4 linked regions of the Stegostoma tigrinum genome follow. The protein of the gene in region 2 purifies or fractionates together with the protein of the main gene of each other region. This does not show direct contact. Links are inferred from orthologs where the notes say so. Each region holds a gene or a part of one and is shown on either strand. Other genes may lie near its edges.

What was found.
Region 1: the proteins of dhx9 (region 2) and nuclear RNA export factor 1 purify together in Homo sapiens (co-immunoprecipitation; 4 studies listed by BioGRID and IntAct, with this or other methods). This does not show direct contact. The link is inferred for Stegostoma tigrinum from reciprocal best matches to the Homo sapiens genes DHX9 and NXF1.
Region 3: the proteins of dhx9 (region 2) and raly purify together in Homo sapiens (affinity purification with mass spectrometry; 3 studies listed by BioGRID and IntAct, with this or other methods). This does not show direct contact. The link is inferred for Stegostoma tigrinum from reciprocal best matches to the Homo sapiens genes DHX9 and RALY.
Region 4: the proteins of dhx9 (region 2) and ELAV-like protein 1 purify together in Homo sapiens (affinity purification with mass spectrometry; 3 studies listed by BioGRID and IntAct, with this or other methods). This does not show direct contact. The link is inferred for Stegostoma tigrinum from reciprocal best matches to the Homo sapiens genes DHX9 and ELAVL1.

The regions. Positions count from the first base shown.
Region 1 is NC_081395.1:11,825,368-11,832,976, forward strand, and holds the start of nuclear RNA export factor 1, read right to left. Parts: upstream 3,020-7,609; 5' UTR 2,906-3,019; coding exon 2,878-2,905; intron 1-2,877.
Region 2 is NC_081361.1:44,889,255-44,896,876, reverse strand, and holds the start of dhx9 (ATP-dependent RNA helicase A), read right to left. Parts: upstream 3,010-7,622; 5' UTR 2,899-3,009; intron 1-2,898. UniProt on the Homo sapiens protein: Multifunctional ATP-dependent nucleic acid helicase that unwinds DNA and RNA in a 3' to 5' direction and that plays important roles in many processes, such as DNA replication, transcriptional activation, post-transcriptional RNA regulation, mRNA translation and RNA-mediated gene silencing.
Region 3 is NC_081372.1:7,063,128-7,070,852, reverse strand, and holds the start of raly (RNA-binding protein Raly), read left to right. Parts: upstream 1-4,706; 5' UTR 4,707-4,790; coding exon of another isoform or gene 4,791-4,968; intron 4,969-7,725. UniProt on the Homo sapiens protein: RNA-binding protein that acts as a transcriptional cofactor for cholesterol biosynthetic genes in the liver. Binds the lipid-responsive non-coding RNA LeXis and is required for LeXis-mediated effect on cholesterogenesis.
Region 4 is NC_081383.1:36,221,469-36,229,201, forward strand, and holds the start of ELAV-like protein 1, read right to left. Parts: upstream 3,020-7,733; 5' UTR 2,861-3,019; intron 1-2,860. UniProt on the Homo sapiens protein: RNA-binding protein that binds to the 3'-UTR region of mRNAs and increases their stability.

The sequences.
Region 1 (7,609 bases), on a different chromosome or scaffold from region 2:
AAGGTGGAGCAGGGACCCAAGTCAGAATTCTGAAATCCTGCCAACTTCAGAAGTTTAAGTAAATTGCAGGAGGTACTGAACTTCAGTGAACAGCATTCTTTTAATGTATATGGTTTCAGTGTAAGTGTATGGGTGATAGCAGACACTGAGGAGAACTGTGGGAATTTCCAGGAAAGTTCAATCTTCAAAAGATCAATCTTAGAATGGTTACAGAGATAGCAGGAACTGCCGATGCTGGAGAATCCGAGATAACAAGGAGTAGAGCTGGATGAACACAGCTGGCCAAGCAGCATCCGAGGAGCAGGAAAGCTGACGTTTCCGGTCTAGTTGATTCTAGGCCAGTTTCTGAAGATTTCTGAAGGGCCTAGACCCGAAACGTCAGCTTTCCTGCTCCTCTGATGCTGCTTGGCCTACTGTGTTTATCCAGCTCTATACTTTGTTATCTCAATCTTAGAATGAAGCTCCTTCACTCTCTCCTCAGGTTTAATTATGCATTTGCTGGTGCAAGATGTCAATCAGACAGATCTTGCTTTGGGAAGTATTTGACTGCATTTGGACGGGCTTTTCTTTTCGTCTTTTCAACCAGAACTTAATTCTATGGGGCCTTTTACATTATAAAAACATAAGGTGCTGTGTGACAGAGTGTGTCAGAAAAATTCAGGTGATGCCAGCCTGTATGAGGAGATATTTAAGCAGATGACCCAAAACCTTGGCCTAAGAGTTGAGAATGAACTTGGATGACAGAAGAGGGAAGGAAGGAATTACAGAGCTTAGGACCCACGCATCTGAAGGCGTGATGAACAATGGTGCACCATGGAAATCAGGGGTGATCAAGAGACCAGAACTGAAAGGGCTCAAATTCAGAACACTGCAGAACTAGAGGTGATAGGTGAAGCACCAACATTCAGAAGACTCAATACTATCCAACAACACAAGTCAGGCTGCTAATCAGTACCACTGAAATCTGCAAGACCACAAGCTCACTGATGGAGGTGGTAACACCTACAATCTCTGACAAAGCACAAAGATCACAAGAGCAACCTTCATGCACTCTGCCATGCTTTACAGCTTCCTGACAATGTCCTCAGACATTGCCTGATATCTCTACTGTTGAGCCAACAGTAGCAGTTGAAAAATTTCACCACATGAAATTAGTGTAAGTTACACACCAAAATTTAGTAGTGAATATTGACACGATTGCACAGCTGTTAAGTCACTGACATCTTAGAATGCAACTAAGATTCTAGGCCAGTGAGTCGTCAAGCAGGTTGGGGGAAGAGGGGTCACAGCAAGGGACGGGATGGGGGAGTGCGTGCAAGGGGTTGTGGGGTGGGAAGACAAGTGCTGTGAGTGGGCGGCCAAGGGAGCAAAAAGCGAGGGGAGCGGAGTCAGAGGCACAAGAGGGAGGGGTGGCGGAATGCAGGAGAAGAGTGGTGGCAGACCACAGGGGTTGGGGAACAGACCGTGGGGGCGGGGGCGGGGGTGGGGTAGCAGACCATGGGGGAGGAGGATTTTGCAGAACACAGAGGGAGTGTGTGGGGGGGGGAGGGGGGAGAAGATATGTGGGTGGGGGCAATGGGGAGACAAAACAGGGTGTGGAAGGGGGCGGGAATAGAAGAGCCAGCATGGTGGTGGGGGGTAGTAGAAAAGCGTGGGCTTGGGGGGCAGGGGAAGAGAAGCGCAGGGGATGGTGGGGGGGGAGGAGGGTGGTGAAGGTTCGGTGCGTTTGTGGGGGGGGGCGCGGTGAGGGTTCGGTGTGTTGGGGGGGCGGTGAGGGTTCGGTGCATCGGGGGGGGCGGTGAGGGTTCGGAGCGTTTGGGGGGGGCGGTGAGGGTACAGTGCATCTGGGGGGGGCGGTGAGGGTTTGGAGCGGTTGGGGGGGGGGCGGTGAGGGTTCAGTGCATCTGGGGGGGTGGGGCGGTGAGGGTTCAGTGCATCTGGGGGGGTGGGGCGGTGAGGGTTCGGTGCATCTGGGGGGGTGGGGCGGTGAGGGTTCGGAGCGTTTGGGGGGGCGGTGAGGGTTCGGTGTGTGTGTGGGGGTGATGGGGAAGGTTTGGTATGTTTTGGGGGGTGATGGGGAAGGTTTGGTATGTTTTGGGGGGTGATGGGGAAGGTTTGGTGTTTTGGGGGGGTGATGGGGAAGGTTTGGTGTTTTGGGGGGGGTGATGGGGAAGGTTTGATGTTTTGGGGGGGTGATGGGGAAGGTTTGGTATGTTTTGGGGGGGGTGATGGGGAAGGTTTGGTATGTTTTGGGGGGGGGTGATGGGGAAGGTTTGGTGTTTGGGGGGTGATGGGGGGGGTTTGGTATGTTTGGGGGGGTGATGGGGAAGGTTTGGTGTTTTGGGGGGGGGTGATGGGGAAGGTTTGGTGTTTTGGGGGGGTGATGGGGAAGGTTTGGTGTTTTGGGGGGGTGATGGGGAAGGTTTGGTATGTTTTGGGGGGTGATGGGGAAGGTTTGGTATGTTTTGGGGGGTGATGGGGAAGGTTTGGTGTGTGTGGGGGGAGTGATGGGGCAGGTTTGGTATGTTTTGGGGGGTGATGGGAAAGGTTTGGTATGTTTTGGGGGGTGATGGGGAAGGTTTGGTATGTTTTGGGGGGTGATGGGAAAGGTTTGGTATGTTTTGGGGGGTGATGGGAAAGGTTTGGTATGTTTTGGGGGGTGATGGGGAAGGTTTGGTGTGTGTGGGGGGGGGTGATGGGGCAGGTTTGGTGTTTGGGGGGGTGGGGGGGGCGATGGGATACAAAGTGCAACCCTGTACTCTAAGGCCTAACGCCAGGCCTCCACCTTCTCCCCCACCCCCACCACCCCCGGCCTGTCTGTCTGTCTGTCTGTCAGACGCGTCGAACCTTTGTCCGTTAAACCGCCTCGTTCCTTACCGCTGTAGTGCCGCCCGTCCTCCGACATGTCCCGTTCGTCTCCCTCCTCTGGATCCGGTCAGTAATCTCCGTTTCTCCCCTCCGAGCTCCTCAGGGGATGACACCCGAGCGGGGGGGCGGGGAGGCAGAAAGAAGATACCGTGGGATGTCCTGCTGGTTGGCTCCGTTTTGTGTTGGTCGCTCTGTGGGATTAAGGCTCTAACGGACACCCCGCCCCCGGTAGTGTGTCTGTGTGTGACCGCCCGCTCTGACAGGAATGTGCGATGGCGCCTCACCCACGGACAATCGGTCCGACGCGCGTGCGCGCTCCACGGCGCCGCAACGACCGCGCGTGCGCGTCCACCAGATCACTGGCGTCGCTTGGTGCTCCCTGACGTCACAGGGAGGCGGGGCGGGGCTGGCTTCAAGCGCTTTGGGGCGGGGCTTGGGGACCCGGAAGTGGAGTTAGGAGAAGAGATGTGTCTATGCTGCTGATGGGGTTAGGTTGGACGTGTGAGAGACAGGGATGAGTTAACTGCAGCTTTAAACAAAGACATCTGGTACTGAGCTGAGTGATAAGATAAGGGAGTGAAGGCCAAGCAGTTAGAAACCAGAATGAACTGGACCCAAACTGCTAAGTTTTGCTTTGCACCATAGACATAGTTGAAGCGCATGCTTAATAAGACAATGCATATTAACTTTCACACCCATGCTTACGAGACTGCTTAATTAACATAACATGCAATGTATGATGAGGGTGGGACAAGGGACGACATGGGAAGATTGTGCACCTTGGAGCTCAGATTGGACAGAGCCGAAAGTGGAGGACATAGATGGATAAAATGATGTATAAAAAGAGGCGACTCCCTGACCTGTGTGTGTCTCAGGCAATGGGAGGCACCCGATTCTGCAGACTCGTAATAAAGTGCAAGTAACTTGTTTCCAAGACTTTGTGATTGTGAGCACTTGAATCTATTATCTCACAGACGTATTTAACATTGTCACTTGTACCCAGGTAGGGTGAAAAGTGGATGATGTTGCCAGGTTCCGGTGAATTACAGAATAAAGTGTATAAATGGTTAAAGTACTGAATAAATTAATGTTAAATTGGTGTCAGTAAAACTGAATGAGCTCCAAAAAGTAGTCCTCCTGCAGGAAGGGGGCCCCCAGGGCAATCAAATCCAAAAAAAAGGGTCCTCAAGGACTATGGATGCTGTAAATCAGGAATAAAAACAGAACTTACTAGAAAAGCATCTGTGAAGAAAAAATTCAAAGTTAATGTTTCGGGTCCAATGACTCTTCCTCAGATCAGAACAGTTCTGAGGAAGGGTCACCATACCCAAAATGTTAACTCTGATTTTTCTTTCTTCACAGATGCTGTCAGACTTGCTGAGCTTTTCCAGCAACTTCTGTGTTTGTTCCAAAAAATTAGGGGAAGGGAATGAGCATAGAGCTACGGGAAGGCAGGCGGTGGGGTTATGAGTAACAGAGTCGGGGTTGTGTTTAGGGGGAAGGAGTGGAGGGGGGGTGGAGTTAGTGTGAGGGGATTTATCCTAGAAACAGGATAAATGTATTTTTGTTCCGAAGAGTCATAATGGATGCAAAATCATTCACTCTTATCCCCAGGCCTGCTAAGCTTCTCCACCAGTGTTTTGTTTCAGATCTCCAGCATCCACCGTTCTTTGTTTTATTGAAATTGGCTTTATATCATTTTATGGAAAATAAATCAAAAATATCTACAGGAACAGAAGCAGGTCAATCAGCTTGTTGGCCCACTGTTCAATACAATCATTGTTAATTTACCCAGTCTAGTATGCCACTGGTGATCAGAAATCTATCTCAAAGAGCCATAGAGTTGTATGGCACGGAAATAGACCCCTTGGTCCAACTAGTCTGTGCCAACCAGTATCCTTAATTAATCCAGTCCCATTTGCCAGCATTGGGCCCATATCCCTCTAAACCCCTCCTTTTCATGTATCCAATCCAGATGCTTTTTAAATGTTGTAATTGTACCAGCCTCCACCCCTTCCTCTGGCAGCTTGTTCCATACACGCACCACCCTCTGTGTGAAAATGTTGTCACCCTTTGCATTCTTCCCCTCTCACTTTAAACTTATGACTTCCAGTTTTAGGCTAACTGTCACGGCTGCTCATATTTGAAAGACACAAAATGACCGATAAGGGGATAAACAGAATTAAATGCCTGCTCCAGCATTTAAGTGAAACTATGGTGCCTTTGAAAAGGGGTTACTCCAAGGTGAAAGGGGGTTTGGGGGTTGGGAGGAGGCCCCGTACAGGCAGCAATCAGGGTCAGCTCAATAAGAGGGTGGTCAAGGGCCGCAAGCTTGAAAATTTGTAACAAACACAGATGAACTCGTTGAGACTGCAGGTTGTAAAAAACTGTAGCATTAAACAAGTTCATTAAACTGTAAAAAGTGACTGATTCCAGCCTTGTTAATGAAAGGATGTCATCCCATTAGGAGGAAAGAATCAGTCAGAATAAGGACACTAAATCTCAGCCCATAAAACAGTCAACCTAATTCATCACACAGCTGTGAAAACAACAGCGAAAGTTATTTAGCAGTAATTAGTTTTATTTTCTTAAAATTGTTACAATATTAAGAAATAGGTTCTAGTTAAAGATTCTTCAGATGATCACACAGATAGATTCCAACGTAATTATCAGCACAAGTATACAACATCATGTCCTGTATGAAATAAACTGCTTGCAACTTATTAGCGAAAGAGTGCTCACAGCAGAGGTAGCTATAAAATTTTACACTAAACCAACTATATATTAGAAATTAATTTTCCAAATCTTAAGGCAGTTAGTTAGAACCAACTGTCTTCTGTATTTTGTTTTTATATAATTAGGACAATGGGAAAATATAAGGTGGGTAACAGATTTTGATGGAGATAGCAAAGGAATACAAGGGGCAACAGAATTCAAGCAGTCCTTAGAGATAAGCAAGTCTGGGATGTATTCGAAGGAGTATAGCTAGTAACTTTGGAACGTGAATTAATAGAATGAATAGAAAGATCCCAAGGCCTGGAGATTATAATGTCTGTTAAACATCATGAGACCCATGGGATCTTAGGGCTGTCAACAGGAATGTCCATCATTGATTAGGTGGTTCACAGGATTGAATGTATAGAATAAGGGGAGGGACACAGTAACAATGTTGTATATGATTATTATAACACAAAATGTCCAAAATTCTGTTATCTCACTGTGAGCACTGGAATATGAAATTGATCGTTCTTCCGATTTGAGCCAAAGATTAAGAGAACAACTGGGTTCTCACACACTGAGGCCAGATTCAGGGAAGTCCTTGGCCCTCTCCCTGCATTAACCAGTTGTTGGTTGAACAAGAATAAAGACTGCCTTGTGCCTGCCTCCTGAGTCTTTGTCACTGGTCTCGTGTTTCTCTCCAACACTCCCCCACCCTGGAAAAATACCTTGGCAATTCATTCTATCGATACACCTCATGATTTTATAAACCTCTACAAGGTCACCCCTCAATCTCTGACGCTCCGGGGAAAATAGCCCCAGCCTGTTCAGGAATAAAAACAAAGTTGCTGGAAAAGCTCAGCAGGTCTGGCAGCATCAGGTCACCGGACCCGAAATGTTAACTCTGTTTTCTCCTTCACAGGTGCTGCCAGACCTGCTGAGATTTTCCAACAACTTTATTTTTGTTCCTGAGTTACAGTATCCGCAGTTCTTTTGGTTTTTATCCAGCCTCTTCAGCATCAAACTGTAGCTCAAACCCTCCAACCCCGGCAACATCCTCATCAATCTTTTCCAAACCCTTTCGAGTTTCACAACATCTTTCCTATAGCAAGGAGACCAGAACTGCATGCAGTATTCCAATAGTGGCCTAATCAAGTTCACCTCACATTTTAAAACTGAAAGAACTGCGGATGCTGTAAATCAGGAACAAAGACAAAAGTTGCTGGAAAAGCTCAGCAGGTCTGGCAGCACCTGTGAAGGAGAAAACAGAGTTAACATTTCGGGTCCGGTGACCCTTCCTCAGAACTGATGGTAACTGGGAAAATGTCAGTTTATATACAGAAACCAGGGAGGTGGGTGGGTGGGGTAGGGAGTAAACGACAGGACAGAGCCCAAGGAGAGAGAAAAAGACAGTTGGACAGGCAAAGGAGTTGCTAACGATCTGGCTGGGAGGGTGAGTAGTTGTTAATGGGGACTGTTAGTGACTAACAACAGGGGGTGTGCAGTGGCGGGCTGTGTGGTAACAAGGCCTGGTGTGTGGGGTGGGGGGGTTGGAACATGGGAGAGTTTAGGCCCTGAAATTATTGAACTCAGTATTGAGTCCGGAGGGCTGCAGGGTCCCCAAGCGGAAAATGAGGTGTTGTTCTTCCAGCTTGCGCTGGGCTTTGTTGGAACACTGCAGCAAGCCGGAGACAGGGATGTTGGCCAGGGAGCAGGGTGGTGCATTAAAGTGGCAGGCAACAGGTAGTTCAGGGTTTTTTTTCGCGAGCAGAATGTAGATGTTCTGCGAAGCGGTCGCCAAGTCTGCGCGTCGTTCCCCCAATGTAGAGGAGACCACATTGTCAGCAGCGAGTGCAGTAGACTAAATTCTGGGAAGTGCAGGTGAAGTGTTTTTTCACCTGGGAGGTATGTTTGGGCCCTTGGATACTGGGGAGGGAGGAGGTAAATGGGCAGGTGTTGCACCTTCACCAGTTACAGGAGAAGGTGCCGTAGGGCTGTGGGGAGGTGTTGGGGGTGAAGGAAG
Region 2 (7,622 bases):
TTTAGGGATGCAGTTGGGGAAGGGGAGATTTTGAAGCTGGTGAAGTCCACATTGATACCATTAGGCTGCGGGGTTCCCAGGCGGAATATGAGTTGCTGTTCCTGCAACGTTCGGGTGGCATCACTGTGGCACTGCAGGAGGCCCATGATGGATATGTCATCTAAAGAATGGGAGCGGGAGTGGAAATGGTCCATTCATGACCTCATCACCTCAGGGGACCTCCCACCCACAGCCTCCAAACTTATTATTCCCCAAACCCGCTCGGCCCGTTTCTATCTCCTTCCCAAAATCCACAAACCTGCCTTCCCTGGTCGACCCATCGTCTCAGCCTGCTCCTGCCCCACCGAACTCATCTCCACCTATCTGGACTCCATTTTCTCCCCTTTGGTCCAGGAACTCCCCACCTACGTCCGTGACACCACCCACGCCCTCCACCTCCTCCAGGACTTCCAATTCCCTGGCCCCCAACACCTCATCTTCACCATGGACGTCCAGTCCCTATACACCTGCATTCCGCATGCAGATGGCCTCAAGGCCCTCCGCTTCTTCCTGTCCCGCAGGCCTGACCAGTCCCCCTCCACCGACACCCTCATCCGCCTAGCTGAACTCGTCCTCACACTCAACAACTTCTCTTTTGACTCCTCCCACTTCCTACAGACTAAGGGGGTGGCCATGGGCACCCGCATGGGCCCCAGCTATGCCTGCCTCTTTGAGGGTTACGTGGAACAGTCCCTCTTCCGCACCTACACAGGCCCCAAACCCCACCTCTTCCTCCGGTACATTGATGACTGTATCGGCGCCGCCTCTTGCTCCCCAGAGGAGCTCGAACAGTTCATCCACTTCACCAACACCTTCCACCCCAACTTTCAGTTCACCTGGGCCATCTCCAGCACATCCCTCACCTTTCTGGACCTCTCAGTCTCCGTCTCAGGCAACCAGCTTGGAACTGATGTCCATTTCAAGCCCACCGACTCCCACAGCTACCTAGAATACACCTCCTCCCCCCCACCCACCCTCCTGCAAAAATTAGATCCCCTATTCCCAATTCCTCCGCCTCTGCTCCCACGATAAGACATTCCACTCCCGCACATCCCAGATGTCCAAGTTCTTCAAGGACCGCAACTTTCCCCCCCACAGTGATCGAGAACGCCCTTGACCGCGTCTCCCGTATTTCCCGCTACACATCCCTCACACCCCGCCCCCGCCACAACCGCCCAAAGAGGATCCCCCTCGTTCTCACACACCACCCTACCAACCTCCGGATACAACGCATCATCCTCCGACACTTCCGCCATTTACAATCCGACCCCACCACCCAAGACATTTTTCCATCCCCTCCCCTGTCTGCTTTCCAGAGAGACCACTCTCTCCGTGACTCCCTTGTTCGCTCCACACTGCCCTCCAACCCCACCACACCCGGCACCTTCCCCTGCAACTGCAGGAAATGCTACACTTGCCCCCACACCTCCTCCCTCACCCCTATCCCAGGCCCCAAGATGACATTCCACATTAAGCAGAGGTTCACCTGCACATCTGCCAATGTGGTATACTGCATCCACTGTACCCGGTGCGGCTTCCTCTACATTGGGGAAACCAAGCGGAGGCTTGGGGACCGCTTTGCAGAACACCACCGCTCAGTTCGCAACAAACAACTGCACCTCCCAGTCGCAAACCATTTCCACTCCCCCTCCCATTCTTTAGATGGCATGTCCATCATGGGCCTCCTGCACTGCCACAATGATGCCACCCGAAGGTTGCAGGAACAGCAACTCATATTCCACCTGGGAACCCTGCAGCCTAATGGTATCAATGTGGACTTCACCAGTTTCAAAATCTCCCCTTCCCCAACTGCATCCCTAAACCAGCCCAGTTCGCCCCCTCCACCCACTGCACCACACAACCAGCCCAGCTCTTCCCCCCACTGTATCCCAAAACCAGTCCAACCTGTCTCTGCACCCTAACCGGTTCTTCCTCTCACCCATCCCTTCCTCCCACCCCAAGCCGCACCCCCATCTACCTACTAATCTCATCCCACCTCCTTGACCTGTCCGTCTTCCCTGGACTGACCTATCCCCTCCCTACCTATACTCTCTCCACCTATCTTCTTTTCTCTCCATCTTCGGTCCGCCTCCCCCTCTCTCCCTATTTATTCCAGTCCCCTCTCCCCATCCCCCTCTCTGATGAAGGGTCTAGGCCCGAAACGTCAGCTTTTGTGCTCCTGAGATGCTGCTTGGCCTGCTGTGTTCACCCAGCCTCACATTTTATTATCCTGGAATTCTCCAGCATCTGCAGTTCCCATTATCTCTAAATATAATTCAGTCCTAATTTTCTCTGTATTCTACCATAATAATAATGCCAATGGTTGGTTTAAAGTCATCACAAGTAGGTGAGGAACGAGTGCGACGATTATGAATTTTCATTATGATCATGAGCACATTAATTTATAAAGAGGTTTCCGATTAGAATATTTTATGTTAGCACGCATTACCAAAATTAAACTTGTGTTCTTCAAACAAAAGACTGCGTATACTGAAAACAAATAGAAACGGTTAAAAGGTGGTGGTGGAGGTACCTAGTTCACGTTCCGAGTCCGAGTCCAATTTGACTGTTAAGAGTCAAATTGGACTCGAAAACAAAACCTGATTTCTTCCCTCGAGGTCCAAACCTCAAAATTTTAAACTTCTACAGTTGGTGCTGGAAGGGTAGCCATTCCCTGAAACCATGAGTGACTCGTGACAAAGTGCGCTGTGCGGAAGCTCTGACAACCATATCACGCACAGTCTGCAACGAGTCCGGAGACCGTCACCTCAAAGGAGGGGGAATCATCGGCGGTCACCAAACCCCACTCTCCGCCATCCCTCACCCGCTTCCCCGCCATCAAACCCGGGCGCCACTCACCGTAAGCCAGCTGCCGGGTTCCACGAACCGCCGCTGGCCTCCGACCCGGGATCCGGGACAACAAAATGGCGTCACCCCCTTTCCCCAAAGACAGCAACTTCCACAGGAAGCGGGGGAAAAGAAGTCTCCACACCTTCCTTACATTTTACAAACTACCAATTGCTGTAAAGGCCGGAAATCATTTACATTTCAGTAATGTACTTCTACTGTAATTTTAAAATACTAACACCAAGATTTATTAGGTTTTACCTCAACTTTGTTTTGTTCTCCAGCTTCCTACATCCACCCCCACCTCCAACCAGTTGGTTTGGTCAAAGACAATCTCGGATGAAGGCGTGAGGTGCTACTGAATCAACAACTGCTTTCATTTATAGAGCGCTTTTAATTCAGCAAAGTGAAAAAGCATCACAGTAATATTATGAAACGAAATTGTGCACAATCATGGAAAGTACTATTAATTCAGATAAACAAAAAAAATTGGCCAAGAAAATGGGGTTCTTGTACCACTATCTCCCATATATTTTCCACATTTCCGCTCTTTCCCTTCCTACAGAGAGCCACACACGCTTCCTTTTCCGTCTTCCCCCAAATTTTCACATTAAACGTTACATGGCTGTAACACATCTTCCCCTTTCAACTGCCCTGCGGACCATTCCAAAACGTCCTCTTCCCCTTTCCTCCCGTCTTTCAAGTAAACAGGGAGATCAAACGCTTGCCCTTTTACCTAATCTCCCTTAAACAGTATCCAAGGCCATCCATTTAGACGAAATAGGATTGCCTGTGTCAATTCTAATTTTGTACACTCGGAAATCGAACGAGGTTAAATAATCTTGTGGAACATTTCGTTCAGTTCACAAGCATATGAGACCAAATTAGCAATCATTAGTCATTTTCAATCTCCATCTTGTGATGTGTTACCGTCTATGAGCCTCCTGCTGTTCCAACGTAGCTCAAGGAGTCTAATCTTGGAGTATGTTGCATATAGGGAATGAACTGAGGGGTAAGTGGTAGAGGAGGGTACAATTACAACATTTAAAATGCATTTGGACAGGTTCATGAATGGCAAAAGTTTAGGGGGCCTGTTTGTCCGGAAATGAGCCAAATTCAGGCAAATGGAACTAGTTTAGTTTGGGAAAACTGGTCAGAATGGACGAGTTAGAGTGAAAGATCTGTTTCTGTGCTGTGTGACTGAATCTTTCCATTGGGCCCTTTCCAGTATGAAAATACCTCAACAATTTCGGTGTATAATTTCAAAGGCTTATCTAAATATTTGTTTTATTTTTCTGTTATCCCTTTATTTGCTTTTCTTACTTTTTGAATTTTCCTGGTTTGATGAAATGTTATCTCTTTCCCTGGAAGCCTGTTGAATATATCAAAATTTTTTTGTGTTTATTTCAAATTTTCTGTAACTGCAGTATTTTACTTTTTTTTAAACATGTCTCTTAAAAGAGGAAAGAGAGGTGGGCCAGAACAGCAACAGATGAGCTCACGTGGACCAGAATCAAGCAATGTTACAAGGGAGATCTTAATGATGATCATGGTCAGCAGTGCCTCTATGATGGCCCACCCACCTCCAAAGCATAAAATTTCAAAACTTAGTTCCACTTGGGGGCTTGAGTACAAAAATCAAGGCCCATATTCCAGGGCCAAATACTGAGGGAGTGCTTCAGTATTGAAGGTGCAGTCATAGAATGAGATGTTAAAACTGATTTTCTACCTGTTCAGATGGAATTTTTAAATTCCTTGATGGAATATGGGTGTCACTGGCTAGGGTGGCATTTATTTCTCATCCCAGATTACCCTAGAGAAAGTGTGGTGAGTAGCTTTCTTGAACTTGCTGTTCCTGAGGTGTAGGGGGGTTACACACAACTGTTAAGAAGGGAATATCAGTTGATGACCCAGTGACAGTGAAGGAATGACAATATTGTTCCAAGTTAGGATCATTGCAAGAGCAAAGTTTTTGGCGAAGATCTGTAGCTCTGATGGGTGAGGTTGTTAACTTGCTTGCCGAGCTGGCCTGTTCTCGTTCAGACATTTCATCAGCATGCTAGGTGACGTTATCAGTGGAGCCTCCGAGGAAGTGGTGTTATTCTAGTCCGCTTGGATTTTATACTGTTTGGTCCATTATGATGAGTAAACTACGATTAAGGTACTGTTAAGGAAATTTGATGAGTTACTGCGCTGCATCTTGTAGATGCACACTGCTGACACTGCATCAGCAGTGAGGTGGGTGAGTGTTGTACATGATGGATGGGGTTCCAGTGAAGTGGACTGCTTTGTTCTCTATGGTGTCAAGCTTCTCAAGTGATACTGGAACTGTGGTGAAGCAGAGAAGAGTATTCTATCACACTCTAGACTTGTGACTTGGAGACGGTGGAAAGAGGTTACTGATGAGACAGGAAGTGAGTGATTCACTGCAGAATTCCTGGCCTCTGACCTGTTCTTGTAGCCACAATATTTATATTGTATTCCAGCACTTCTTGATTATTCATAAGTTTTACGTTGGTTCTGTTCTCAATTTTGCTTTGGAGCTGTGAACTGGAAATTTTGAGCTGAAGATGACTAGTGGCCTTTGTGGAACAGCTTGTGGGTAAGAGAAAAAGAACAAACCTACTAAGATTTGTTTGTTTGAGAGGTTAGGCCTAGAGACTAACTGAAGGATAACTTTTGATTAAAAGGGTTCCTACCACCACAAAGACCCCAGAAGGAGCATTGTGTTTAAACAGATAGCAGAACTTGGCTATTAACCTGCTCAGTACCTGGGAAGTGATGATGTATTCAAGCAGATAGCAGATGCTGAATAGTAATTGAGGTTTCAGGAAAAGTTGGGCATTCTCTCAGGGCAAAGTTGAAGATTTTTTTAAAAAATGTATTTTCTGGGGAGATGGGTTTGGCAGCTAGTGACACAGAATGAAGATTTGAAAGCTCCCAGACTAACCCCCCCCCACACACTATGGAAGCTGAAAGAGTAGAAAGCTGAGCTACCTTTAACTGAGTGAACTGAAAAGGTAGCTATGATCGGTGTTCCCAAAAAAACAGCTAGGCAGTCCATATTTATGTCCATGAAACAACACTATCAAACATTTAAGTCATCAGGACAGTTTCATTATTTTCTTTATCCATTAACTATTGGTTTATCTGTCTGCCTTTAGTGTGGATGTAGGCTATGAACAAATGTTTCAGGGTAAAAGCTTATACATCAATTAGATGACTTTTTTAATCACAAATTATTGTACATTTTAAGATATAAAACTGGTGTCTGGAATTAATTATTCACAAAGTCAGAGATTTTTTATTCAAAAATCTGGTTAAGAGCCATTGCACTATCTGTCCGGGTATTTCGAACGGTTAAATTTTACTGTCTGGTGAATAGAGTTGGAAAGACTGATTTGGTTCAGACTTGTCTCCACATCGTAACAATTGCTTTTGCAGTTCAATTTCTGGCCAATTGTAACTGTGTAGGACATTGTCCCCAGTTATTTAAATTACCAACACTCAACGATTTGATTTCCTTGCCTTGTTTTGAGATGGTCAATGCTTGGCACTTGTGTGGAAAAAAATGTTACATACTCAAGTCTGGATAACGGCCAGGTCATGCTGCACGTGGAAATAGACTGCTTCAGTACTTGAGTCATGAATGATACTGAGCATTCTGAAGCGGAACCGTTCATTATTGATGGAAAAGGATGGAAGGATGTAGAAGAAATTATTTTGAGAAAAAGTAGGAATAATCCTGGTTGGGTGGTCAATATTTATACCTCTGTGAGCACTGAAAACAAATTCTGGTCTTTATCAAATTGCTGTTTGAGAGAGATCACTAAGCAAATATCAGCCACTGCATTTTCATTACGATATTTCAGAAACAACTTCACTGATTGTAAAGCAGTTTGAGACATCTGGTGACTGCAAAAGCAGATGTAAATGCAAGTTCTGTTTGTTAAAAATGGTATAGAATTTTATTAGGGCATTTGTCCTGAGAGGGTTAGCTCGAAAGTTTTGAAAAAGAAAGACGCCACCCAATGATATAAATGACTGTCTTTGGGATAAGTTAGTTAATTGTTCCAGTTTGTAATTAGTCAGTTCTACAAACCACAGTCATGTAGCATAGACCTAGTTACTGTGTTGCAACTGATACAGTCTTACTTACGTTGTCACAAAGTTTACTAGTCTTAGCTAATGTAATCTAGCATCTTATGATTGTGTAATAAACTTCCTCATTGCACAAGTACATTGCGGGTTCGGCTGAAGATTTACTCATGTTTAAACCTGCATTACTAACTGTAATAAATCCTATACATCTGCATTACAAGGAGGGTTGGTGATAGCAAAATCTACACAGCGAAGATCCAATCAGAACCACATGCCAGCTGTAGGCATCTCTTATAAAATCAGAAAATGCTGGAGAAACTCAGTGGTTGTGGTAACATCCGTGGTGGGAGAAACAGGTAAAATCTTGAGTTCAATACAATAATTCTTCAGAACTGGACTGGAAACTATAACTTTCATTCTAACACATTTTTGTCAAAGAGAAATCATATTTAACTAATTTATTGGAGTACTTCAAAGATGCAATTTATGCTGCAGATAAAAGGGAACCAGGCGATGTATTGTACTTAGATTTCCAGCAGACATTTGATAAGGTGCCACAACAAAGGTTATGGCATGAACAGAAGATTAGCTGTCTAATAGGAAGCAGAGAGGAGGAATAAGTTGATCTTTTTCAT
Region 3 (7,725 bases), on a different chromosome or scaffold from region 2:
TGAACCAATCCCCCCGCGATACAGATGTGGTCACTCCTGACCAACTAAACCATTGTTTTATTGATATTTCCCAAGATTTTTTTAAGGCAGAGCAGGCTTAAGAAGTTCAGTGAGTTATCCATGCTCCTTTTTCTCTTACCTCTTTCCATTCAAACTGTCCGAATGAGAGTCTACCCAAAAGGTGAAAGGCACAAGTTAAATCAGAAATTTTAGTAAATACTCAGTAGGTCTTGGGTCCTTTTAATTTCCTCTCTAACTTCTTCACATTCAGATTGTTGCTGTTCTCCATCCTGCTACTCACACCTCTTCAGGGCACATGTTATCTGCCCTAGTTTCATGCCCTTTGGCCTTGGACCTCCAACTCTTTAGTTAATGAGTCTCTCCTACATTCACACGATCACAGACCTCTCATTGACCCCCACGCTTCACCTCCCAAACCACTGTCATCTATCTCTTGCTGAAAACCCATTCCTCCGGCTCCACACTGTGTTGTCTCCAGCATCTGGACTTCTCGCTATCTCTGACTTTCCTAGCTTTTCGCAGTTCTGATGAAAGGTCATTGTCTCAAAATATTAACATTAACTCTCTTCACAGATGAGATCAGTCATGCTGAGTGTTTCCTGCGGTCGTTTCAGATTTCGAACATTCACCTCCACTGGCAGGATATATCTACAGCTACACTCCTGTGCCTGTCAAATGTGACCTTCATTAGGAAAGAGAGAAACAGACTGCTCAGAGGAATACCCGACGATGCTAAACCCAAGCAGGAGTCTGCCACTTGTGATTGTTTGCCACCCCCCCCCCCCCGTATGGGGAATGGGAGCCAAGTGAAGAATTCAGATGGATGGGATGAAGTGATGTGAAAAATTGTTACCAAGAATTTATAAATTGTATCATTTTTGACACAAGTGAGGGCGTCCTTTGTTATGATTTTTCTGTCCATTTCCTGCAGAAATAGGTAAAGCCACCACGGTCCCACTGTCTCATTAGAGAGAGATGATTGTGAGCAGTTGGGGAGGGGGGCACGGTGGCAGTGTTTAACTTGTGGGCCACCGTGCCACAGAACAGGGGCAAGATTGGGAAGGTGAGGAGCTGGATGAACACAGCAGGCCAAGCAGCATCTTGGGAGCAGGAAAGCTGTCGTTTCAGGCCTAGACCCTTCATCAGAATGGGGGAGTAGGAGAGGGTTCTGAAATAAATAGGGAGAGAGGGGGAGGCGGATAGAAGATGGATAGAGGAGAATATAGGTGAACAGGAGACAGGCAAGTTAAAGAGGCGGGGATGGAGCCAGCAAAGGTGAGTGCAGGTGGGGAGTTAGGGAGGGGATAGGTCAGCCCAGGGAGGATGGACAGGTCAAGGGGGCAGGATGAGGTTAGTAGGTAGGAAATGGGGGTGCGGCGACAGGTCAAGTGGGCCCCCATTTCCTACCTTCCTACCAACCAACCTCATCTCGTCCCCTTGACCTGTCCGTCCTCCCTGGACTGACCTATCCCCTCCTTACCTCCCCACCTACATTCACCTTTACTGGCTCCATCCCTGCCTCTTTAACTTGCCTGTCTCCTGTCCACCTATCTTCTCCTCTATCCATCTTCTATCCGCCTCCCCCTCTCTCCCTATTTATTTCAGAATACCTTTCCCCTCCCCCATTTCTGATGAAGGGTCTAGGCCCAAAACATCGGTCTTCCTGCTCCTCTGACGCTGCTTGGCCTGCTGTGTTCATCCAGCTCTACACCTTGTTATCTCAGATTCTCCAGCATCTGCAGTTCCTACTGTCTCTGATACAAGGTTGGGAAGGTAGCACTTTCAATGTAACTTCAGTCAGTGCAAGAACTAAACCCGCTTTGTTAACATCACACTGTAATGTAAACCGGCTGTCCAACTGATGGAGCTAACCAACCTCCCTGACCCTCTCCATTGAAATAGAAACTACTGTAAAAGCTTTTCATTTATCATTCGTTCTCAGGTCGCAGATGAATGGTGTCAAGGTTGACGTGTGTTTTCCAGACCTTATTGTCCTTGAGAACAGGGTGCGGTCAGGTTTGGGAGGAGCCACTGCAGTCTTTTACGGCCTAAGGTACCCTCTATGAGCTGTTAGAGACAGATTGTCAGAATTTTGACCCAGTGACAATGAAAGAACATTCGATGTGTTCTGTCCACGTCAGGAGAAACACAAAAACAATTCAGAGACAGTAGGAACTGCTGATGCTGAAGAATCTGAGATAACAAGGTGTAGAGCTGGCCCAGCAGCATTAGAGGAGCAGGAAGGGTAATGTTTCAGGCCTAGACCTTTCTTCAGAAATGCCCAAAACGTCAGCCTTCCTGCTCTTCTGATGCTGCTTGGCCTGCTGTGTTCATCCAGCTCCACACCTTGTGAACACAAAAACAGTGGTGTTTGCACAAAATGTTCCCACTCATGAAGCGAATGAGAACAAGAGGGCAGGATGCAAATTTGAAGTGGTTTGTAAAAGTGATAAGAAGCAAACCATTTTCACACAATGTGTGCCTGGGCTTTGGAATTCATTGCCTGTGGCAGGCAAGTTCAATCAAAGTACTCACAAGTAATTAGGACTTATATTTGTGAAGGAACAACCAGTAGGGTTCGAGGGAGAAGGTAGGAGGATGGCACTTATTGAGTTGCCAATTTGGAGCGGTGGCACGGAAATGGTGGATCAAATAGTCTCCCTCTGCTCTGTAATAATTCTATAACTGTATAGTTCCATGAACATTGATAATTTTGCCCCTCAGGGTGGAGTTAGAGGTCACAGAAAGAGTGGTGCTATGGAAGTTACCCTGAGGAGTTGCAGCAGTTAGTCAGCAGCTGGCCATCCTGTCTCCATCAGAAAGCCGCACATCCACATTTATAATCTTTGCTCCTCTCTCATCCTGTGGTTCCCTGCAACCCTCTGGGAGTGTTGCTTTCCTCCAATGCCACAGTTCCTGAAGTGTCATCTGTCTGTCATTGGCAGTCAGCTGCCTGGTCTGTAAGATCTGCGATTCCTCCCTAAACCTCTCTTCTTCTCTCTCTCTCCTCCTCGAAGACGTTCTTTCAAACACACATGGTTGTGGTGATGACCAAGTGCTACTGTCACTACACTATTAATCCAGAGGTCTCAGCGATATTTTTGGGACACAGGTTCATAAACACGCCTAGTGGCAGATGGTAGAATTTAAATTCAATAAAAATCTGGAATTATGATTCTAATGATGACGACTTTGAAATTGTTGCTGATTATTGGGGGAAATATAATCTGATCTTTTAGGGAGGAAATCTGCCATCCTTACATTGTCTGACCTACACATGACTTTGCACGCACAGCAATGTGTTTGACTGAACTTCCCTCTAGACACTTATCTGACAATGGCCCAGTTTGGTGACACCCAAATCCTGTAAATATTTACAGATAAGGCTTTGGTCATCTGCCTGAACATTACCTGATGTATCTTGGATACCAGGTCAGGTTTTTGCCTGTGACATTTTAGTGAATGAACTTCCTGAGGAAGTGGCGTGCACAGGTACAGTTACAATACTTAAAAGTCATTTGGTTGAGTACATGAACAGGAAAGGTTTGGAGGGATATGAGTCAAACGTAGGCAAATGGCACTCGTTTAGTTTGGGAACATAATTGGCATGGACTAGTTGGACGGAAGGGTCTGTTTCCTTGCTGTATGACTCTATATAATTGCAACCTTAGAGTGTAGTGTTGCAATGGTAGTGCCTCATCTTTGGGCCAGAAGTTCAGGGTTCAAGTCCCATCTGCTCTGGAGAATTCACAGCAAGCAAAGAATCTTAGCGTGCATCACAAGCAGTAAGTAACTGGAGATAGCACGGTGTGGAGCTGGATGAACACAAGCAGCATCTTAGGAGCAGCAAGGCTGACATTTCGAGCCTGGACCCTTCATCAGAAAAGGGGGAGGCGGAGAGGGTTCTGAAATAAATAGGGACAGAGGGGGAGGCGGATCGAAGATGGATAGAGGAGAAGATAGGTGGAGAGGAGACAGACAAATTAAAGAGGCGGGGATGGAGCCAATAGAGGTGAGTATGGGTGGGGAGGTAGGGAGGGGATAGGTCAGTCCGGGGAGGACGGACAGGTCAAGGGGGCGGGATGAGGTTAGTATGTAGGAGATGGGGGTGGGGCTTGACGTGGGAGGAGGGGATAGGTGGGAGGAAGAACTGGTTAGGGAGGCCAGGATTTGCTTCTGAACTCTGAGAAGCCTTCTCAATGCAAAGTAACTATGTAAACCAGTCACGCTGTAATTACACCTTCCGAACTGTAAAGGCGCTACAGGCTCTTCACCTGGAGAGGGATGGATTATAAACTGTCAGGTTGGCAGTAGGAGTTTCCATATGAATGTGAAAAGGTGAATTTACAATGACATAAAATGAGCAAACAGGCATGAGCTATTTAATTCGCTAGTTATGCTGGACCTTTGGAATTAAATAGAAACGGGGTCAGCTTGTTGGAATCCAAATTAAAATGATGACATTGTATTGTACACAATATTTTAATCGATAGAAACTGGAGGTATTTAATTTTATAATTACTGCTCTGAGCTTCAGAATAAGAAGTGGATGATGGCTCTGAGGCGAGCACACCATTCAGCGCAGAGGGAGGAGAGTGGGATCTGAGGGTGGTGAGGTCTCTCCCAGCCGCATAGCCAGCTAGCTCGCAGAACTCCGGCTGCCCAATGCAGTTTGTACACATTAAGCGGAGGAGCCTGGGTGCTTTCTGTGAGCTTCATCTCCAGGCCGCCGTGTTTCCCTGTGAAGCTCAGGTCTCCCCCGAGCTGAAATGGAAGTGCCGGTTGCTGGTGAATTTCACTGTCTCTCTCTCTCTCTCTCTCTGGCTTGTTATTTCTCTCTCTCCCTCTGTCCCCACCCCCAGTCAGCTTGTTCCTCTCCTTTATCTCATCTCTCACTCTCCCTCTCTCTTTGCCGTTTTTTAACTCCTGAATTTTCTTGTCTCTCTGGTGAGTAATTTTGCTGTCTGTGATGTTTTGAATTTTTTTCTTTTTTTAAAAAAAAGAGAATTTTTCTTTTGTTTTTTTTGCAATTCCTTTTTTAAAGAAAATGATGTGTAGAGACGGGTGTTTGGGGGGGGGGGGAATCAGTGAATGTGTTTATAAAAGAGTAGCTCTTGTCAGACATCAGTGTAAATATGTATGTGTTTTGTGAAAATGAATTTAGGCTCATTAACTGCAATGTTAAAAGAAATTCCACTGCCACACATCTGATTTTCTGTTCATCATGATCAGATGTCACAGGATTTTTAAAAGCTGTCCATTTTTTTCATTTGTCCGTTTTCTTAATGTATTTTTAATCAGTTCTATATTACTAACCCCAGCTCCCCCCTCCTTCTGAAGGCTTAATTACATCCCCACCTCCTGTCTAAACAATCTGTCACTTTGCAATTTGGTTTAAAAATACAATTTTTTTTATTATTTGGGATCTTGTGGTTTTTAGTCTTTTTTTAACCAACAAACCCCTTCTCCCCAAGAAAAAGTTTGTCACTTCTTCCTTGGTTGGCTGTGTTTTGCCAGCTGAATTCTCTCTCTCTTCTCTCTCATTCTTTTTTCTAAATGGTTGCTGTTACCCTATAACGGAGAGCGGGGTTTTGTGGAGAAGGTGATTTTTGTGGAGAGAGAGAGAGAGAGAGAGAGAGGTTTTTCATTGTAGCTCCCTGGTTTGATCTACCGCTTTGTATTTTCAACATGCAGAAAATAAAACTGTCCAAAAACTGACTACTGACTGTTAGCTAGCTAATTATTGCATTTTTAAAAACAAAACCTGAAGTGTTCAGCTGTTTAAAGTTATGAGTGGGAACAAAATATTTGGGGTGGAGTTCAAACAACTGGACAATAAGATTGCATTTTTCCACAGAGAAAGCTCCCTAGCATCATCCTCACTTCTGAAAACATGATTGTGTCTTGAAGACAAGAAATCTATTTCAAAATGTGAAAGGAACTTTCAAATGGGCACAGCCCCTGTGCAGGAAAAATATGTGGCAGTTTTTTTTCTTTAAAGGAATGTTTCTTGTTAAGAAGCACTTGACAGGCTTTGTAAATGGTATTGAAGTGTAAATTGTCAATGTGGAAAGGATAATCTCTCGCTCTTGCTCTCGTGCTCTCGCGCTCTCTCTCTCTCTCTCTCTCTCTCTGGAAGAAAGGTAACAGGTTTGACAGTGATAGGGCAAACATCTAGTAGAGCATTTCCCAACAGAGTGGAGCCTCCCCTCCAGGTCAGAATATCGGAAAACTGTCCCCAACTTTAGTTTCTGAAGGTGTCCTGATTTCTGGTAATGAACTGCTGAGTGATGGGGCTGTTTGCTGTTTGTTGCTACACGAGTCACCATGGCTGGGCCTACTGGGTTGCTGTTGCTACAGGCAACCATACTTAGGGTTCCATTCATACTGTACTAGCGGCTCCTGTGTAAAGCAGTCTGGTTTTGTGTAGACGCTATGACTGAGGCCCAAATCTGAGTTCCCCACCCACCATCTCAAACCCATCGTGGGGGTCCCACCCCAACACTAGAACTGACTGATGGACACCTCTCCGAGTAGCTCAGCTATAAGATCATGAGGCCATTAGACATGGGAACAAAAGTAGGCCAGTCAGCCTGATTCCCCTGCTCGATGAGATCACGGCTGATCTGATCATCCTCAACTCCACTTTGCTGGTTTATCTCCATAACCCTTGATTCCCTTACAGGTTTAAAAAAAATCTGTCTGTCTCAGCCTTGGATATACTCAGTGACCCAGTCTCTAACAGCCCTCTGTGGTAAAGAAATCCATTGATTCATTCTCTTTTTTTTTTCCTGAGAGAAGAAATTCCTTCTCATCTCTGTCATAAATGGGCACCCCCTCATTCTGAGATCATGCCTTCTGAGCCTAGACTCTCCCATAAGGTGAAAATCCTCTTCACATTTTTTCTGTCAGATCCCTAAGAGCCTTTGTGTTTCAATCAGATCGCTCTTCAGTCATCTAAACTCTGAGTACAGGCCCAGTCTATTTAACTTCTCCTCATGAGACAGTCCTTCTATGCCTGAGATTAGCCTACTGAACCTTCTCCGGATTGCCTCCAGTGGCAACATATCTTTCTACAGATCAGGGGCCCCAAACTGTGCATAGTATTCCAGTTGTCGCCTGACTTGTGCCTTGTTTAGTTTCAACAAAATCTCCCTGCTTTTATATATTCCATTCCGTTTGCTTTCCCTATTACCTGCTGAATTTGGATTGCTTTTTTTTTGATTTCGTTCGTGGGATGAGGGCATCGCTGACCAGGCAGCATTGCCCATCCCTAATTGCCCCGAGGGCAGCTTAGAGCCAACCATATTGTAGGCCAGACCAGGTAAGGATGGCAGTTTCCTTCCCCAAAAGGTATTAGTGAACTGGATGGGTTATTCTGACAATGGATTCATGGTCATCACTAGATTCATAATTTCACATATTTAGTTGATTTCAAATTCCACCATCCGCTGTGGTGGGATTCAAACCTGTGTCCCCAGAACATTATCTGGATTAACAATCCAGTGATAATGCCACTAGGCCATTGCCTCGCTTTTGCTTGTAATGATTAATGCCCTGGAATGTTTGAAATTGGGATCTTGATGCCTTTGACAGTTTTAGAGTCAACTTGAGTAAAATTTGGAGTCTGGCCCAGGATTGTGGGGTAGACGTGTTTCTGTGGTTACTATGACCCAGAGATAAATTAAGACTGTTCCTCATGTA
Region 4 (7,733 bases), on a different chromosome or scaffold from region 2:
CACACTGTCAGAGAATATGCTGGAGGCAACTTTAATTAAACGTTCGAAAAAGATCAATATGCAGGATTATGGGAAAAAAAAGCAGCATAACAGCACCAACTGCATGCTCATTTGGACAGCCAGAGCAGACAGGAGCTGCAAATTGCTACCTTATGTAATAACCCATTGATTATGTACTATTCAAGTGAAAAACACTCTAATACCGTTCTTGGAAGCTCACACTTACACCACACTTCAATAGCGAAACACGATCAAATATCACCTGAACGTCCCTGGACTCCAAACACATACCACTACTGCCTTCTCTGATCTAGAATGGTAACATGTTTACAACAGACTGCACTTCAAATCTTTGTCCTGATACTCCATTTTATTTTAATCATTACCACTTATTGACACACTCCAAACTCTTAGCATTGATGCTACATTCTCTTTATATTATTGTACTACTTCTTTCTGCCCCATAAATCATCTTTAATATTTTCAAGGTGGAACTGTACAAGTGCAAATTGATTGCACTCTCCACGCCTTTAAAAATACAACCAACTTTGGTATTAATAATCTACATAATTTAAAAGCCTCCAAATGCATCAAAGAGTAGGCCCACAATCAGAAATTATACTTTACCACTCCAACATGGTTTTACTCAAGACCCCTCGCAAAAATGTCTTGGTGCTGTGTGGTATGTTATTTAATCACAAGCATTGCCATGCATTGTCTTTGCCAGAAATAAAATTAAATAAAACAAATATTAAGCAATTCAGTAAGGCGCACCAGCGATTGATCAACATTCTACAGCGTTCTGAGAAGGGTCACTAGATCAGAAATGTTAAGTCTGATTTTTTCCTTCACAGATGCTGCCAGACCTGCTGAGCTATTCCAACATAAAGTGTGAAGCTGGATGAACACAGCAGGGCAAGCAGCACCTCAGAGCACAAAAGCTGACGTTTCAATCTAGGCCTGAAACGTCAGCTTTTGTGGTGCTGAGGTGCTGCTTGGCCTGCTGTGCTCATCCAGCTTCACACTGTTATCTTGGATTCTCCAGCATCTGCAGTTCCCATTATCTCTGAGCTTTTCCAACAACTGTATTTTGAATTCTACACTCAACCACTACTTTAGCCAATACTGCCATTTCAGTTTATAGAACCTTGTTATATTTTGAAAAAAGCTCTTGTTGAACACATTGTTCTTTATAATAATTGTTTTGTATTATCATCCTCTGGAGAAGTTGTTTAGAAATGCGCTGAGTTACAAACACCAACTTTAATATCTTTGATGCTTTCAGTTTTTAGGAAACTGCAAAATGGAGTCCAAAACCAGACAGCATAGGTTTAAGATAGGAGGGGAAAGATATAAAAGGGACCTGAGGGACAGTTTTTTCATGCAAAGGGTGGTACATGTATGGGATGAGGTGCCAGAAGAAGTGGTGGAGGCTGGTACAATCACAGTATTTTAAAGGCATCCAGATGGGTACATGAATATGAAAGGCTTAGAGCGATATGGGCTAAATGCTGGCAAATGGGACTAGATCAGTTTAGGCAATCTCGCTGGCATGAATGAGTTGAACCCAATGGATCCGAGTCGAAGTAAACACGAATCTAGATCAATGATATTATTGAATCAGGCAATCTGAGCTAGACAATGGAAAGAGTGGTGTCATACAGCTGGTGAATCTTCAACATTTCAAAGCAGCCCTATATATTAAAAAAAACGGACTCCTGGGAAGAACAAATGTGATTAACTGTGTTATTGTCATTCAGATTTGCTAATGTGGGTAGCTGCAAATAAAGATGAAACCTTAAAAAGAACAAGAAACAGGCATAGAGATAGTAGGAACTGCAGATGCTGGAGAACAAGGTGGAGAGCTGGATAAACACAGCAGGCCAAGCAGCATCAGAGGAGCAGGAAGGCTGAGGTTTCGGGCCTAGAAATTTCTGAAGAAGGGACTAGGCCCGAAACGTCAGCCTTCCTGCTCCTCTGATGCTGCTTGGCCTGCTGTGTTCATCCAGCTCTGCACCTTGTTATCTCAGAAACAGACATAGCATGCTTTAACTACCTTCACTTGGTAAGTCAACCGTATCTACATATTCATTCGTGTGCAACGCATTTGCAATCAATTGATAATTTACCCGAAATTTGGTGAATAAAGAACTGCTGAAAAAAAATTTCTGGGACGAAGAGGGAAGTCAGTCATTTGGAAATTTAAGTTTATGTAATGGACGTGTGGGTTTTAGGCAAATGTTTAATAAGCGTTTTTGAGAAGATATTGCTAACATTGAGGTCATAAATATAACATTTCCGTTCGGTTGAAAGACTTATTTTTGCTATTAATACGTGCTTAAAGGGGCTTTGTTCAATGAAGTGATTGGAGGTTGTTGGGTACAAAAGCCCGGGCGCAAAGCGCATTGTTCTAACAAATGCATTGGCCCCATTCCACCATCCACCCTTTTCCCTCTGTGGGCTGAAGCCGCCAGGACACTAAAATCCCATCCACCGGGGACCTCCACCCTCCTCTTCTGTTTCCATCTTACAACCGTCGCTCTTTTTTAAAAGGGCCTACACCACCGGTTTACATCCCCGATCTCGAGTTAGGATTTCCTTTTCCCTACCACTAGAAAGCCCACTAGTCTCCATCGCATTTTCCTCATAATAGGCATAATAAAACTCCCGGTCTTCCGTCCATCACTCCATCTCTTCACCCTTCTAGCCAACAGTGCCTCTGTCTGGGGGTGACCAATCTCTCCAAAGCCGAGGCCTAACTTCGAGAAGCATAGGCCCCTGTGCCGCATGGCCTGGGCCTGTTTCCCAGTTCACGTCGAGTTCTCATATTATTTTTCTTATTCGACAAGTTCACACTCACTCTGTCTGAGCCCCGTACTCGGTACGGGGTGAGAGTGCCGGCAGCACTGATGTCTTTCCGGGACTCGAGCTGAGAAAGGGGAAAAGCCCAGGCCAAGCGCAGAGGCGGAAAAAAAATCCGTTAAAATCAAACAAAGTCAACCCCGCGCGCCGCCAGCAAGCGAAGCACCACCCCCTCCTCTTCCATTGGATAATCTGTTTATCCATCACACCCGCGCCTCCACGACTTCTTCAAGTGCATTGGTTACGACGAACGTCAGTTATACACTTTGCGGTCATCGACAATTCCTATTGGCCCAAAGGGTAGCGGCCTACGATGAAATCTTGTTACGGCGTTTCCTTCCAGTCGTGAAAGAGGCGATTCACGAAAACCTGGTTCGTTTGTCAATCAAATTGTTTAAACCCGGCTATTTGGAAGTTAGGAGTGATACGGTTCAATCTTACTGAAGTAAGTATTAGTATGGTCACGTGTTGACAACCAGATAGAAATATCACTGAAATTGCCTCAACTTTCTTCGACATATTGTCGAAAAGTATTTTTTTAAATGAATGTAAGCCAACACAGTTCTGAAACAAAGAGTCAGCCTTACCGGACTTCGAAGGTTAACTTTACTTCTATCGCCCGAAGTTCACGTTTGTTGAGTTTCTTCGCCATTCAGTTTCATCTCTTTTAGTAAATTGAAATTAGGCGTGAGCTTTTAAATGTTTTACTTGGCTCTGCAGGTAGCCTGAGGTTGCTATTCATTCAAAGTTGTTATCCCTTTATTTTTAACGTTTGGAATTGCTATCCGAGACATAATAGTCCCTAACATCCATCTCTAATCTGTAAACCAATGATTTCTTGACACGTTTCAAAGTTGATAAGTATTAGGCTTTCTGAACTGCACGTTCAGTTTGGGCAATTATCCATGTTCCTTCCAGGAGATCGTTGTATATAACTGATGCCAACCTGAGCGTTTTGTTTAACTTAAGATTTTGGGGGACCCAAGTGTTTTAAGACCACTCATACAGATATTTGAGGGGAGTTTTCGTACTTCATTTACTTTATTAAAACTTTTTGTATCTGTAGCTTCTTATTAGTTTATAAATCTCTAACTGTATTTAGTGATAATTGTTGATGTAAACCCATAATGCATGTGCATTTTTCCTTCATCAGAGAGCCCGAAACGTCAGCTTTTGTGCTCCTGAGATGCTGCTTGGCCTGCTGTGTTCATCCAGCTCCACACTTTGTTATCTTGGATTCTCCAGCATCTGCAGTTCCCATTATCACTGCATTTTATCTTCGGTGCGATCACCATTTCGGTGGAATGCTGTTAAGAGTACCCGTTGGCATTGAAAATACAACCACAGCAATTCAGGGTGATTTAACGAAAAGCCGATACATTCTTGAAAATTGTGGCAGACTGGGTGTAAAGACACATAGTAGAAAGACTGTGTAACTACAGCATATTAAACACGTATATTGATTGAACAAAAACAAAGTTTAACGTTTCGGGTCCGGTGTTCTGAGGACTGAGAACTGAGCTTTTCCAGCAGCTTCTGGTTTTGTTCCTGACTTACAGCATCCGCAGGTCTTTTGGTTTTTATATGTTGATCTCATTATCAGCCTTGATGTAGCAATATATAATGGGTTTGGTGAAAACAAAAAAGTAGTTTTGTCTGGCAACAGTTGTGCAGATCGTTTCAATAGTGCATTATATTGAATATTCCTTGGATGATCCTTGGTAGAGGGGTTTTTTTTTAATATAGCTTTAAAAATGCTGAGAGGCTGTATGTATCAGAAGCAAAGATTCAGGCAAGTTGTATTTAAATTCAATCTAGCTAAAGTTGGAGCTCACTCAAAGTAATACATAATTTTTCAGGGATTTTTCAAAAATAATATTTCTGATATTCATATCACATCACTGCTTTTGTATGTTACATTAAGGATGGAAATCTGAAAGAAACAATTCAATTTATTTATTAACTTTACTATGTTACAATGGCAACCACTCTCCAAGTGGTAATTTAATTTGTAGAACATTAAGTTTGTGAATAGTACTACATAATATGCACGCTTTAATTCTCTTTCATTACTTCAGAATGCCCCAAAATGCCTTATAATTAACTAAGTACTTTTTGAAATTTAGAATTATTGTAATGTAGAACAAATACTTAGTGAGAAGATGGGCAGCGAATTGAAGGATTCCTATCCTGTATTCTCCCCAGGTACGTATGTTGTGGGTGTGCCATTTGTGAATCCTTAATTTACATGTGTGCATAATGTGGAAGTGTTTGGAATCATTACTATATATCTTTTCAGGATGATTCTCCATTGCACTTGGTTCAATGTAGAACAAGTGGCATCCTATTTGAATGTAAAAGTCCTGAAGCCACCTCCATGCTACTAATGGAAACAGTAAAAGATGCTGCCTTATGCAGCACATCTTCAACCTTGGAGATGGAATGCAGCTTGGATACATCTGGTCAAGGCCAGATGAATCTGTCCATTGCAGGATAAACTTTCCATTTGTGTCACATGGATGGCCAGATCCACTAACATCAAGCTGGTATTCTTTTCTTACAATTACCTCTTACTGGCTGACTATCATCTACAGAAAGACCAAAGAGGTGGTAAAAGGAAATGGAAACTGTGAACATGAGTCTGATGACATCCAAAAATTGAGAAATTTTTAAAGAGATTTGGAGTATGGTGGAAAGCAATCAATGTGACCATCTCATTTTCAAAGGTGTTCAAAAGTCCAGCGAGGAAACAGGGAAGTTCCAGGAAAGCATGCAGTCCAGCTGGCTGACCTCATTCCAATCCTTACATCCATAAATCTCTTTCTCCTCATCCACACTTTCCTTTTCTGAACAGTGAGAAAATAGCGATCTGTCTTTCTTAGGTCCAACTAAGATGTTCTCAGTTTTTTTGAAAACATCAGTAGTTGACAGATGAGGTGAGTAGGCAGTTCTATGGGCATATACTCTGGACTTTAGATGAAGTTGTCTTCATAGTACAAACACTTCATCCCAGAATTGATGTAGTGAACCTCTTCTGAACTGCCTCCAATGCAACTACATCACTCCTCATGTAAAAGGACCAAAATTGAATACAATACTCCAGGTGCTATCTCGCTAACCTTGTACAGTTGCAGCAAACATTTTACTTTTTCTTCTACTTCCTTAGTAACAAAAGTCAAAATTCCATTTGCCTTTCTTATCGCCAGTGGTACATGTATCTTCATTTTCTCGGATTCTTGCAGAAGTACACTTGGATCCCTCTGCACTCTGAAGTTTCTCTCTCTGTTTAGATAAATTGCTTTCCTATTTCTTTAATCAAAATAGGTAATCTTTTTTATCCATGTTAAACTTCATCTGCTTAATTTTGACCCATAATGTAACCTATCGATTTCCACTTGTAAAATTCTTATTACTTCATTGCAACATATTTCCCACTTTTAGTGTTATCTACAAATTTCATTCTAGTACTTTGTTTCCCTGCACCTAAGTCACAAATATAGATTGTAAATAGTTGTGTCCTAAGGATCAAAATCTGTGCATACCACTAGAGACATCTGCAAATCAGAAAAAGTCTGATGTATCCTCTGAATAAAATGTGGAAAAACTGCAGGTACTGTAAATCAGAAACAAAAATAGAGATTGCAGGAAAAACTTAGCAGGTCTGGCAACATCTATGAAGAGAAATCAGAATTACCATTTTGGGTCAGTGACTGTTCCTCAGCACCGTATGCTATGTTGGTTAGCCAATCCTCTATCCAAGCTAATAAATTACTCAGCCTCATGTGATCCTATCTCATGGATTAACCTTTTGTGCAGCGCCTTATCAATGCCTTCTGGAAGTCCCAGATATTCTACACTTATAAATTCCTATTATCTATCTTGCTTGTTACATCAACAAAGAACTCTAGCAAATTAGTCAAACAGAATTTACGCTAAATAAAATCATGCTGACTCTTGAGTGCATTTTGACGTCCCAAATGTTATTCATTTTTAAAATATCCTGTTATTAATGAATGGATTGTAACCAGTTCCAAATGGCACATGTTTAATCAACTGGTTTATAGTTTCCTACTTTCTGCCTGTCTCCCTTTTCAAACAAGGGCATTATATTTGCATTTTACAACCCACTGGAACCTTTCCTGCATTCAGGGAATTTTGGAATATTATAAACAATGGATCCACTGTTTCTGCTGCCACTTCATTTAAGACCTTAGGATATAGGCCATCAGTCCCTGTGGAGGATATAGTAGGAACTGCAGATGCTGGAGAATCTGAGATAACAAGGTGTAGAGCTGGATGAACACAGCAGGCCAAGCAGCATCAGATGAGCAGGAAGGCTGCTCTGTTCATCCAGCTCTACACCTTGTTATCTCAGGCCCTGTGGACTTGGCTGTCTTCAATCCCCAATAGTTTGCTGTACAAGAATCTATAACAGCTAGGCTATTCAGGGAAGCTGATTGAAATCACTTCTCACAGGTTGTCTTTTTTATCAAAGATAATTGGGCGTAGATAGGAATGTGGAATTCGGAATAGAAGCAGATCAGCCATAATTAATGTTGTAGTGGACTTGGAGCCTGCATAGTGTACCTACCTTATTCTACATCCTTGTATGGAAGGCCAGACAAATTATTAGGTTAAGGTCAATTACAAATTTTAAAATGGAGTTCAGATTTTGGTTCTCGTTCAGACGTTTCGTCACCATGCTCAGTGCCATCGGAGGATATGAAGGCCGTCTTTGGAACCATGGTGCATAGATGGTGGTCATGTTGCTGATCAACCATGATCTATATAAATTGCCTCCATCCGACTTGATGTTTAGTTCTACAGTGTGTATTCACCCACATGCTCATGGTGGAAGTAATGATTCACAA